Cricetulus griseus: one gene and its partners. The protein of the gene in region 1 purifies or fractionates together with the protein of each later gene. This does not show direct contact. Links are inferred from orthologs where the notes say so. Each region holds a gene or a part of one and is shown in the gene's direction. Other genes may lie near its edges. The genes, in order: Ing3, Epc2 and Actl6a.

Region 1 (3,655 bases):
CAGACCATGTACCCTGGTACATTTACCAGCCAGAACTTGTTCCTATGTCTACAGCAGATAGTGGTTTTCTGGACTGCAAGGTACCTAAGCTCTATGTTTACCAGACACGAGAGGCTCATCTGGAGAAGCAGGCATGTGTCTGTTAATGAGAATGGCAGTTTTAAATGTAAAAGTAGATCATCACTTCACACAGTTATCTTCTCTAGTGGGGATACCTTTATTCTGGAGGAAACCTATCTGAGGATAATAGGTGTTAGAGAACAAAATGAAACATTGTGTAACTGCCTTTGAAGTGTTTTGTTTTTCTTTTGGAAATGCTGGTGGTGAATACCAATAACCCATGCCTGCCTACTCACTGCTGCAGAAAGGTTAATAAAACATTGACTCCAAGGACACATACACATGAAATGGAACCAAATCACATCACAAAAAACTGCTCCATTCTGCCCCCTGACATGATTTTAACTCAAGGAATCGTGAATAAACTCAGAAAATTTCTTTAGAAGTATTTTCAAGTTTGGTATTAGGAATTCTACCCTCTACTTTTTGCAAGCAAAGTCCCTAAGTTCTTTTCTGGAGTTGTCGGTATCTCATTTGGTATTCATGGTTGAAGGGATTTCTTAGTATGCATTGATACCCCATACCTAGACCTTCAGGATTACCTATTGAAAGGTCTTCAGCTCTGTTACTAGATTGAATTTTTTAGCTCTTGCCATCACACCTCTTTATATGGTACCCAGAATCAAAGATTCCCTAAGTAGACATTAGCACTCAAGTAGACTTAAGCTCTTGTGGACCTAAGGTGAACACTGAAAGATGAGTCTGACTGCTTAGAGAGAAGGTTGTTCAGGATAAAATTGAAGGTTGTGACCCTCTTCATGCCTAGCTAAAATGATATGGTATGCACCAGAGCGTGGCTGTCATCTGTGAGAGGACACATTGTTTATGGCTGGTTGATGTGTAAAGTCCTATGATGACATTTAATCCTTGTTTGTCTCTGTGCCCCTCTCTCTAGGATCTTTGGAATTAGATACTCCTTCTCAGCCAGTGAACAATCACCACGCTCATTCACACACTCCTGTGGAAAGTAAGTTTGATTCAAGTACAATTTAAAGCTCATTAATGTTGTGTATATGTCTTTTATTAGCTCCACATAACCAACTGAGAAGTATCCTTCCCTTTCCCTTTTTAAAAAATACATTTTTGTCACAGTTGACTTTGCGATTTAAGCAAAGTGCATTTAATCTGAGAACAGGCAGTCTCTTCTATAAATACAGAGACAGAATATATAGAAACACCAGCGGCATCTCTCTGCTTCCTACAGACCTGAATTATATTTCTTCATATGGCTATGTCTCAGTCAGCCTCGCCTCTAAATGCTTAGCCTAATGTTTAGCATGTAATAAAGTCTCACTACCAATGAGTTAGTGAGTAAAAGAATTGTTGGATACATGGCTAGTTGATGGTGTTGCTGTCTTTTTTTTTTGGACAAGAGGAAAGAAAGGTAAATTGAAAGCTATTCTGAATGACAGGCAATATATTAAAATAGACTTCCTCTCATGGTATATGTGAAACCATAGTGCATCATAGGTTGTCTTTAGTATTTTGCTCCTATAAATTTCTAAAGTCCTTGAAGTGTCTGCTCTCTAAGTGAAACATGTGCTGTGGGCTGTTTGCTTGCCCCCTCCTTGCTGAGCATAATGGCCCATTTCATGGGGAACCTAGATCAGAATTATGGTTTATAAAGAGGTGGAAGTATTATGCCCAGTTTGTAGTCCTCTAAAGTTTAAAACTGTGTGAATTCTTTCTTTTTATTCAGAAAGGAAATATAATCCAACTTCTCACCATACAGCAACAGATCACATCCCCGAAAAGAAGTTCAAATCTGAAGCTCTCCTGTCCACCCTCACGTCTGATGCTTCTAAGGAGAGCACACTGGGTAAGTTGGTGCTCTTCAGTGTGGTAATTCCCTTGTTTTGTTTGTGTTGGAGTAAGGGCACAGAGAAGCACTCAGGGTTATTATTCATACCTGTGTTACCTGGCTAAAGTCTGCATGTGGATGGAGAATAGAAAAGGAAATTTGGCTTCCGTTTTTTCCATTGACTCAATCCCTAAAGTGCCTGAAGAATTTAAATTTCATGATTATATATGCTGAAAAATAATGTATTTTAAACCCGCAACATTGTGTTCTCAGCCCCCATTTTTATTTCTTTACCTCTTTACAGGTTGCCGAAATAATAATTCCACAGCTTCCTCCAACAATGCTTACAATGTGAATTCATCCCAACCCCTGGCATCCTATAACATTGGTTCATTATCTTCAGGGACTGGTGCAGGGGCAATCACCATGGCAGCAGCTCAAGCAGTGCAAGCAACAGCACAGGTGAAAAGTCAAAGGTTTAGAGGCAAATGTTACCTTTTGCTCCTGTTCTTGGCAACCCCCAATAGGAACCACTAGGTTCGAAGTGACGGGTTGAAGACATTGCCTGGTTTCGGTTTGAAGTTGACATTTAGGCTGGGTGTTGTTTTATTAATAATGCAAGGGGTTGTTGGGTAGAGAGTGCACTGTGGGTATCACACGCCCACCTTCTCCCAGTCAGTGCTCAAGTAGCCTGGTTCTCTTTGTGAGGACAGTGACTGTTCTTTCTGCAAAGTTAGGCTTCTGCTGGATTTGTGGTGGCTGCATTTAGCTCATTTCTGTAGTTTGCACACAGTGCAAGTTAAGAAGTTCCATTTCCCATAGTTTTTCTCAACTTAGCATAAAAATGATTTAGCATCTTTACATGAAATGACTTAAGTAACCATAACTTGTAATGCTTAAAAGAGAAAATACATATTTACATATATTAATGCTGTCAATGCCTGTCTACTTAAGATGAAAGAAGGACGAAGAACATCAAGTTTAAAAGCCAGTTATGAAGCGTTTAAGAATAATGACTTTCAGCTGGGAAAGGAATTTTCAATGCCCAGAGAAACAGCTGGCTATTCCTCCTCATCGGCACTCATGACAACCTTAACCCAGAATGCCAGTTCCTCAGCAGCTGACTCGAGAAGTGGCAGGAAGAGCAAGTAAGTTTTGGAGTGGAAGTGTGTGCCTTTGCTCAGTGCTGTTTGCATGGAGCCTCAGCTGGGCCTTTAGGAATTAAGTAAGGCAGGGTGCAGTGACCCAAGCAGACTGCTGGCGTGGGCAGATGGCTGGTGGCACTGCCTGACCTTGAAGGCTGGCAGTTGTTTAAGTGTTAAAGTCATTTGTAATTTTTTTGGACTTTGCATATAAGTGACTTTTTTTTTACTTTCTTTTGTTCAAGATAAACCATTTTATGGTACTGTTTCCATTTTTAGGTATTTCATGGTTAATTAATATAAAATGCAAATTGTATTCCAGGAAGTTTTTCCTTTTGATTAACAGTAAAACATCTAAATTTTTGCTGATGTCCTGAAAACTGATTACATGAAAATGTCCCTAGATTTGGTATGTGAGAGACTTAGGGTGATTGTGTGAACTGTGGAAATGAAACTTTGCCATGTTCATCTAAGGTAATAGATACAGCAGGTATTTATACAACTGAAATTCAAGCCAGGAGTGGTTGGTGCCTAGTACTTGGAATGCAGAGGCAGGAGGATTACTTTAAATTCAAGGCCGGCCTGATCTACA
Region 2 (3,655 bases), on another chromosome or scaffold:
TCCAACAAGGCCACACCTTCTAATAGTGCCACTCCTTTGCAGATCACCACAGTCTTCTCTTATGCTCCATATCATGTATTAATACTCCCCTCTGGAGCTGGAGAGATGGCTCAGAGGTTAAGAGCACCAACTGCTCTTCCAGAGGTCCTGAGTTCAATTCCCAGCAACCACATGGTGGCTTACAACCATCCGTAATGAGACCTGGTGCCTTCTTCTGGTGTGCAGATATATATAGAAGCAGAATGTTGTATACATAATAAATAAATAAAATCTTTAAAAAAATACTCCCCTCTAAGATCTATTCATCCTCTTTCTATTTTCATAACCACACATATACATATCTGTGCACATACAAATTTAAATTGAGATTCTATAAATGGGGGAAAATGTAGTATTTGTCTTTCTGAGTCTTGGCTTAGTTTGTATAACATAATGATCTCCAATTATCCATTTAAAATAAATTTCATTTTTCTAGCTGAAAGAATTTCCACTATGTATTTGTACTTTTTCTTTATCCATTCATTACATCTTTTTCTTTAGATGTCAAAACTTAAAAAAAATCAACAAAAACAGTTTAAACCACCATTTGGCAACCAACAATGCTAATAATTATCTCAGGTGAAAGAACCATTAAACTAATGAGGGATATTTTAATGACAAACAATGCTCATATAATTATACAGCATGCTAGGTTAATTTAAAAGGGAAAATATTTTAGTAGGTAAACCCAATAGACACCATCTTAATTAAGTAATCAGCAGTGATAGGACAAATTGTGTTTTCTAACTCTTGATAGGGTGTGAGTGTCATTTCTGTGGTAGTTGTGTCAAAAACATACAACCTAAATATAATCATGGGAAAACATTGAAACTCAAATTGAAGAATACACTACAAAAATAAATACTCCTCATTTAAAAAATGGAATCATGATGAACACAGAAAAATAGAACTTTTCCAAATAATGGAGTGTTAGAAAATAACAACTAGAAACAGTGTTTAATCCTGAGTCAGACTTGCAAAATAATTAATTTTGAGATTAAAAATACTGTCTCACCAATATTCTATTGATCTTAGTTTCCAGATTTTGATCACTGTGCTATAATTGTGTGAAAGCATCATTGTCTTTGTAAAACCAGATTAGAATATTTAGGGACATTTGTTCATCTCAAATTTGGAAAATACTACCAAATTTGTATATTTGTGTATATTTATATACCTAACTAGAGACAAAAAGCTAGTTAAACTTCAAACCTTTGGGAGATCTGGTTAGATCTATGGAAAGCATTTTTGCTATTTTTTGGTAACTTTGTCTGAAATTATTTCAAAATAAGTCATGTTTTGAAGAGTAGAGCAGACACAAAATATAGATGTAGCTTCATGAATAGTCATCTTTTGATTCTTTGTGTCATATATATGTATCTGGGAAGCACATATAGTATTAGCAGAATAGAAAGCATTTTAATGTTTGCTGTTGATCATGTTGATTTTTTTTTCAGTTACAAGTTATTGTTTCCTGTCTACCCTCCAAAATTGCTTTTAACTGTACTCCACCTACTATCTTTTGTCACAGAGTGCTAATGCAGTGAAGGGGGGATAAAGGTGAATTTTCTTCTGGCAAAATAAGATAATATCTTAGCATTTAGAAATACTCCATATGCAGTAACATAAAGGATTATGATTAACACTATTTCCAAGTGGATAAAAGGAAAAATAAAACTCAAGGCTTTTATATTTTCATTCGTAATCTATTATGAAACCTTAGACATACTTCAGATTCTTTCTGATATTACATTCAATTGTTAATTCAAGAATGAAAAGATGGTTTAAGTGTAGGTCAATCTGACAGTTGAGAAGTACTAAAGTTCTGTGTTTAAATGTGACTCTGTATAAACACTGGGGACATTTGACTTAAAGCACACGTCATTGGTGATTTTATATTCTGATGAATGCTGCTTATTACAACAGAGTCATCTTTTATTTGAAGTTATGTTTTATGCTTACAAGTAAGAAGTTAGCAATAATCTGAAGTCTAAAGATTTTGCTAGATCTCTTTCTCCCCCTACAATGAGGTCTATGTTGAAGCATGAGAATCCCATTTCTTGAAATACTCAATATTCTGTTTTCAGTTTTCTGAGTTGCCAGAAGTGAAGTTTTGTTATTGTTCTTGATTATATGTATTGCTGGGAGCTTTTAGCTCTCACCTGCAGATTTGGATGGACATGGCTAGACACTCTTGTGGTCTATTTTTTCCATTCCTTGATCTTGGTAGAGGTGTTTTTTATCATTGGGTAGCACATTACTGCAGAAGGAGGACTTTATAATTTTCATATACTAGGTTTTGTGTCAGGTGGATTTTTTTTCTTTTTTTTTTCTTTTTTTTTTTTTTTTTTTTTTTTGGTTTTTGGGACAGGGTTTCTCTGTGTAGCTTTGGAGCCGATCCTGGCACTTGCTCTGGAGACCAGGCTGGCCTCCAATTCACAGAGATCCGCCTGCCTCTGCCTCCCGAGTGCTGGGATTAAAGGCATGTGCCACCAACGCCCGGCAGGTGGATTTTTTTCTACATTGAAATTATTCTTTCTGTACCATTAGTTATCAAAAATTAAGTTAAACAGATGAATTCTTGTGGAATTGCTATCTGGATATTTGCTCATTTCTTTTAATAATTTAAAACTTATAGGATAATTGAGATTTAGTAAGAGGTTGTTAAATGAAACTGGAAACATGAATAATTTCATTATTCTCTAAAATTGTTATTATTTCAAAAGAACCGTAAGAATGATGAAGCCTCTTATGAAAAGATGTTGAAGCTGAGACGGGAGTTCAGTAGAGCCATAACAATTTTGGAAATGATTAAGAGAAGAGAGAAAACCAAACGGGAATTATTGCACTTAACCCTGGAAGTCGTGGAGAAAAGGTAACATTGTGACTGTCCATACTAGGGCTATGTTAGCCAGGCTTTGTGACCATAGATAGAGATTATGTAATAAAATTTCATTTCTACCTTATAAATTTTGTCGTTGCTAGTTAATTTTAAAATTAGATTGTTTTGGTTTAGAATTTATTTGGGGAGATTGGAGTGTAGAGAATTGATCTTTTTAGATATTGGCAGAATCATTGTACTTGTACTTTGTACTTTTCTTAAAATCTAGGAATTATCTTGCCCATTTCTCTGTATGTTAGTTTTTGTTAAATGAATGGTTAAAAGGCAAAATTTCCTGTTTCTATTCCTCAGAATTATGATCTATGAGTATTTTCCTGCATAATTAAATAGACTGAAGTTCCATTAGGTTTTAGGGAATTTTGTGTGATTGCTGAAGTAAACATTCTAAGCAATATTCCCAGTGCTTGATAAAATACTTGAGAAATTTGTGTGTTATATGCCTTAGGCATTTTTAAAGTTCTTGATCATTGTGTTTTTATCAGAATCTCAAATATGAACTTGGATTTTGTAACTTTTTTTGTTTTTTAACAGTAATCTGCTATCCTAAAGCTAGGCTTGGTGATACATGCCTATAATTTCAGCAGTTGAGGTTGCACAGGGAGATCAGGAGTTGAAGCAAGTTTGAGGCCACCTGGACACTTGAGGCTGTCTCATCCCTTCCCAACTGTCAAAATTGATAGTTCTATTTTGCTCATTCAATTACTTAAAATGTCA
Region 3 (3,655 bases), about 89 Mb from region 1:
TTGGTTTTTAGAATCTTGATTTTCCTGTGATTTGAAAAGTATTTGGAGAACTCAAAGCAGCTGACAGTTATACCTGATTAATAATAGCTTAATTTATGATTTATTTTAAAAAAGGGCATTCTTAACATTGTTTTTTTGCCAATATGGCTCTGTAATATAGCATGAACTAGCCAGTGCTTTAATTACTACACATTGAATAACTGGGGTCCTTCCTCCCTTCTGCAGTGGAACACCAGGGCAAAGAGAGAGAAACTGACAGAGTTGATGTTCGAACACTACAGCATCCCTGCATTCTTCCTTTGCAAAACTGCAGTTTTGACGGCGTATCCTTAAACAATGTGACCGCTTTTCTCTGTGATTGTAAGATATTAGTGAGGATGTGTTTTCCTTTTTTTCTAGCTTTTTACCTATCTTTGAGTATTTTTAAGTTTTTTTCCCTGTTGTTGGTATATGTACACAGTGCTGGGTTTCATAATCACAATCTCCTTCAAATATATCATGTACCTGGACCATATTCACCCGACTCCTTAGATTCCCCTGCATGCTCTAATAGTCTCCCTACTTTCTTTTTCCACTCTGCCATCCAGGGTGGGTGCATATGCATGCACACAAATGCATGTGTTTTTAATGTATCTGTGAAGAATACTTGGATTTGCAAATACCGTTGTACATGTAGTATCTGTTTGCCTTGTCTCATGTAATTTTTTTCTTCAGTTTTTGTGCAAACAGCATTATTTCATTCCTCCCGGGTAATCAAATCTCCCATGTGTGTGTAGACCAAGTTCTCTTCATGTTGATGGACACCTAGGCTGACTTTATGACTTGGCTGTTGTAAGTAGTGCTATCATGAGTGTGAGTATGCAGGTATCTTGTGCTGTGTTGACTTAGTTCTTTTGGCATAGACCTAGTAGGTCTAAGTGGATACTAAGTAACTTTGTAATTTTTTGAGGACCCTCTTTACTAATTTTCATAGTGGCTGGACTAATTTACAAACTGGCAGTGAGTTCTCCTTCCCAACATCCTCATCGACTTCTGCTGTCTGTTCTTTTGCTGATAGCCATTCTGATTCAGGTGAGATGAAATTTCATTGTGGTTTTAATTTGTATTTTTATGGTAGATTTAAGGGTGTTGAGCATTTTCTCTTGGTTATTTGCCATTGGTAATTCATCTTTTAAGAGCTTTGTATTCATGCCATTAGGCTATTATTGATTAGCCTGCTTGTTTTTGGTCTAGTGTTTTGAGTTAGGTATGTATTCAGATAGTAATCCTGTGTCTGATGTGTATCCAGCAGATTGTCTGCAATTTCTGTGGGTAGTATGTGCTTCTGGAGTCTTTCTAAAATCATTTTGTGCTGTTAGGATGGTTTTCTGGGCTCCTTTTCTCTACTTTGAGGCTGTGCTGAACTTGTTTTGTGCCCACCATGTTCTCTTGACTCTTGTATCTCCTTCTTGCTCTTTCTCCATCCACATTACACCCCCTCCCCCATTATTGCTGAAGTCCCAGGAATAGGCTGGGTGGTCTGTTCTTCATTTTTCCAGGACATGCCAAGCTTTTCTTTCTGCAGATAAACTGACCTCTGTTTTACTAAACAAGATACCCTTTAGGGCAGAGATGGCTTGGGTTAGTTTTATGAATCCTTTGTCTTTAAGGAACGTTAGTGGCAGCCTTGTTGTATCCTCCACCCCCACCCATCTCTGTCGTTTACCTCCTCTGAAATGTTACTAGTCACCAGACTCGGGAGGACGTAATAGAAGTTGAGGAACCAGTGAAAGGCCCAACTCATAAACTTGCATATGGGTTGTCGTGTGTAGTTGGGGGAAATGAACCTGCCTTTTTCAGCTGTTGAGTCCACCTGGAATTGCTTGTTGGGCTTACTGGGGTAGAGGCTGGAACCACCAGCTAGCTGCCATATCACTGCAGTGCTTCTCCAAGCTCTCTACCCAAGGTTCTCACAGCCTCTTGCTGTTCTTGTCAAGTTTGTAAATTTTGTTTAAAAAAATTTTCTCAATTTGTTATAAGCCTTTTGATCAATTGTAGAAGTTTTCAATATGCTCGTTTTGACCCGCTTAATTAAAAAAGGGTTCTGCATAGAAACTGCTCTGGGAGTCCTCCTTGTGGAAGTTCATTTTCAAGATAGATTAATTACTGACACCCATTTTTCTCCCTAGACAGCTTTTTTTTTTTTTTTTTAATTCTTTTATTAGTTCAAATTAGGAACAAGCCTGCTTCACATGTTGATCCCTCCCCCTTCTTTCTCCCCTCCCCACCAACATCCCACTGCCCCTAGCTATCCCCCCTCCACTCCCCAGGCAGGGTAACGCCCCCAAAAGGGGCTCCCCAAAGTCTACCACATCATCCTGGGCCAGGCCTAGGCCCTTCCCCATGTACTAGACAAGCTTTTATACAATGCAGGTGATAAAGTATGTTTAAAGAACTGGCTTGAACATTACAAGAGCCAGCCTGTCATAATCAGCACTATCCTTGGAGCCTCGATGCTTATTTTTCCTTAATGCTTTAAACTAGATTTGCTAATGGTCGTTCTACTGGACTGATTTTGGACAGTGGAGCCACCCACACCACTGCAATTCCAGTCCACGATGGCTATGTCCTTCAACAAGGTAACTACTTAATGAGGGCACAAGATTACTTTCCCTGTCATGAGGACACAGATAATAAAGATAGATCAGGAATTCTATTGGAGCCATTCATTCCCAAGTGAATATGTTTTAAGTGAATGCATGGCTTTATGCTTTGAGAGGATAGTTTGGATAATTCTACTCAAAGAAACCTACACATATGCCAACACATTCACAGTCCCAAGGAATTCAGACTTTTGGCATCTTCAGCTTTGTTTGATTTGATTCTCAGGCATTGTGAAATCCCCTCTTGCTGGAGACTTCATTACCATGCAGTGCAGAGAACTCTTCCAGGAAATGAATATAGAGCTCATTCCTCCATATATGATTGCATCAAAAGTAAGCAGCATGAGAAGTTTCTTAGTGAGCCCTGCCTTGTGCTTCTGCTCCTGTGTGGGGAAGCCTCTTAGAAAGCATGTGCTCTTGGTGTTCTCAGGAGGCTGTTCGGGAAGGCTCTCCAGCCAACTGGAAAAGAAAAGAGAAATTGCCCCAGGTTACAAGGTCTTGGCACAATTACATGTGCAATGTGAGTAACCCCTATTGTCTTTATAGAGTGTTGGTTCTAAGTTACATGTTTTTAACATTTGACAAAATGAATACCTTAGGGGTGGGGAGCACTTGCCATATTATCAAAGCAGTCCCTACAGACAAATATAGCAGCTTGAATACATGGAAGAGGTTTTGGTTTTAGGGTAGAAATAGTTTTAGCACACTATTTTATAATAGTGTGCTATTATAGCACACTATAGCATTTTTAAGATGCTTTTAACTGAGCATGAGTTTGAGGCCAGCCTGGTCTACAGAGTGAATTCCAGGACAGTCAGGGATACACAGAGAAATTCTAAAAACAAAAAAGAAGATGCTTTTAGTTCATGTCAAACTTAGTATAACTTAGGTATGATTTCTTCTCTAGCATTAATTAGACATTCAGGAGTATGTCTCATTGCTTCAACAATGAGTCAATGAGACTTTTTACTGAAAATCTGTGTCTGAATATGTAGACCTATGTGGGTGAGAGG

The links.
Region 2: the proteins of Ing3 (region 1) and Epc2 purify together in Homo sapiens (affinity purification with mass spectrometry; 3 studies listed by BioGRID and IntAct, with this or other methods). This does not show direct contact. The link is inferred for Cricetulus griseus from reciprocal best matches to the Homo sapiens genes ING3 and EPC2.
Region 3: the proteins of Ing3 (region 1) and Actl6a purify together in Homo sapiens (affinity purification with western blotting; 3 studies listed by BioGRID and IntAct, with this or other methods). This does not show direct contact. The link is inferred for Cricetulus griseus from reciprocal best matches to the Homo sapiens genes ING3 and ACTL6A.

What each region holds. Positions count from the first base shown.
Region 1 is NW_023276806.1:205,244,221-205,247,875, reverse strand, and holds part of Ing3 (inhibitor of growth protein 3), read left to right. Parts: intron 1-1,015; coding exon 1,016-1,087; intron 1,088-1,819; coding exon 1,820-1,939; intron 1,940-2,225; coding exon 2,226-2,383; intron 2,384-2,875; coding exon 2,876-3,069; intron 3,070-3,655. UniProt on the Homo sapiens protein: Component of the NuA4 histone acetyltransferase (HAT) complex which is involved in transcriptional activation of select genes principally by acetylation of nucleosomal histones H4 and H2A.
Region 2 is NC_048599.1:124,775,219-124,778,873, reverse strand, and holds part of Epc2 (enhancer of polycomb homolog 2), read left to right. Parts: intron 1-2,765; coding exon 2,766-2,914; intron 2,915-3,655. UniProt on the Homo sapiens protein: May play a role in transcription or DNA repair.
Region 3 is NW_023276806.1:116,638,963-116,642,617, reverse strand, and holds part of Actl6a (actin-like protein 6A), read left to right. Parts: intron 1-225; coding exon 226-323; intron 324-2,523; coding exon 2,524-2,618; intron 2,619-2,868; coding exon 2,869-2,975; intron 2,976-3,072; coding exon 3,073-3,162; intron 3,163-3,655.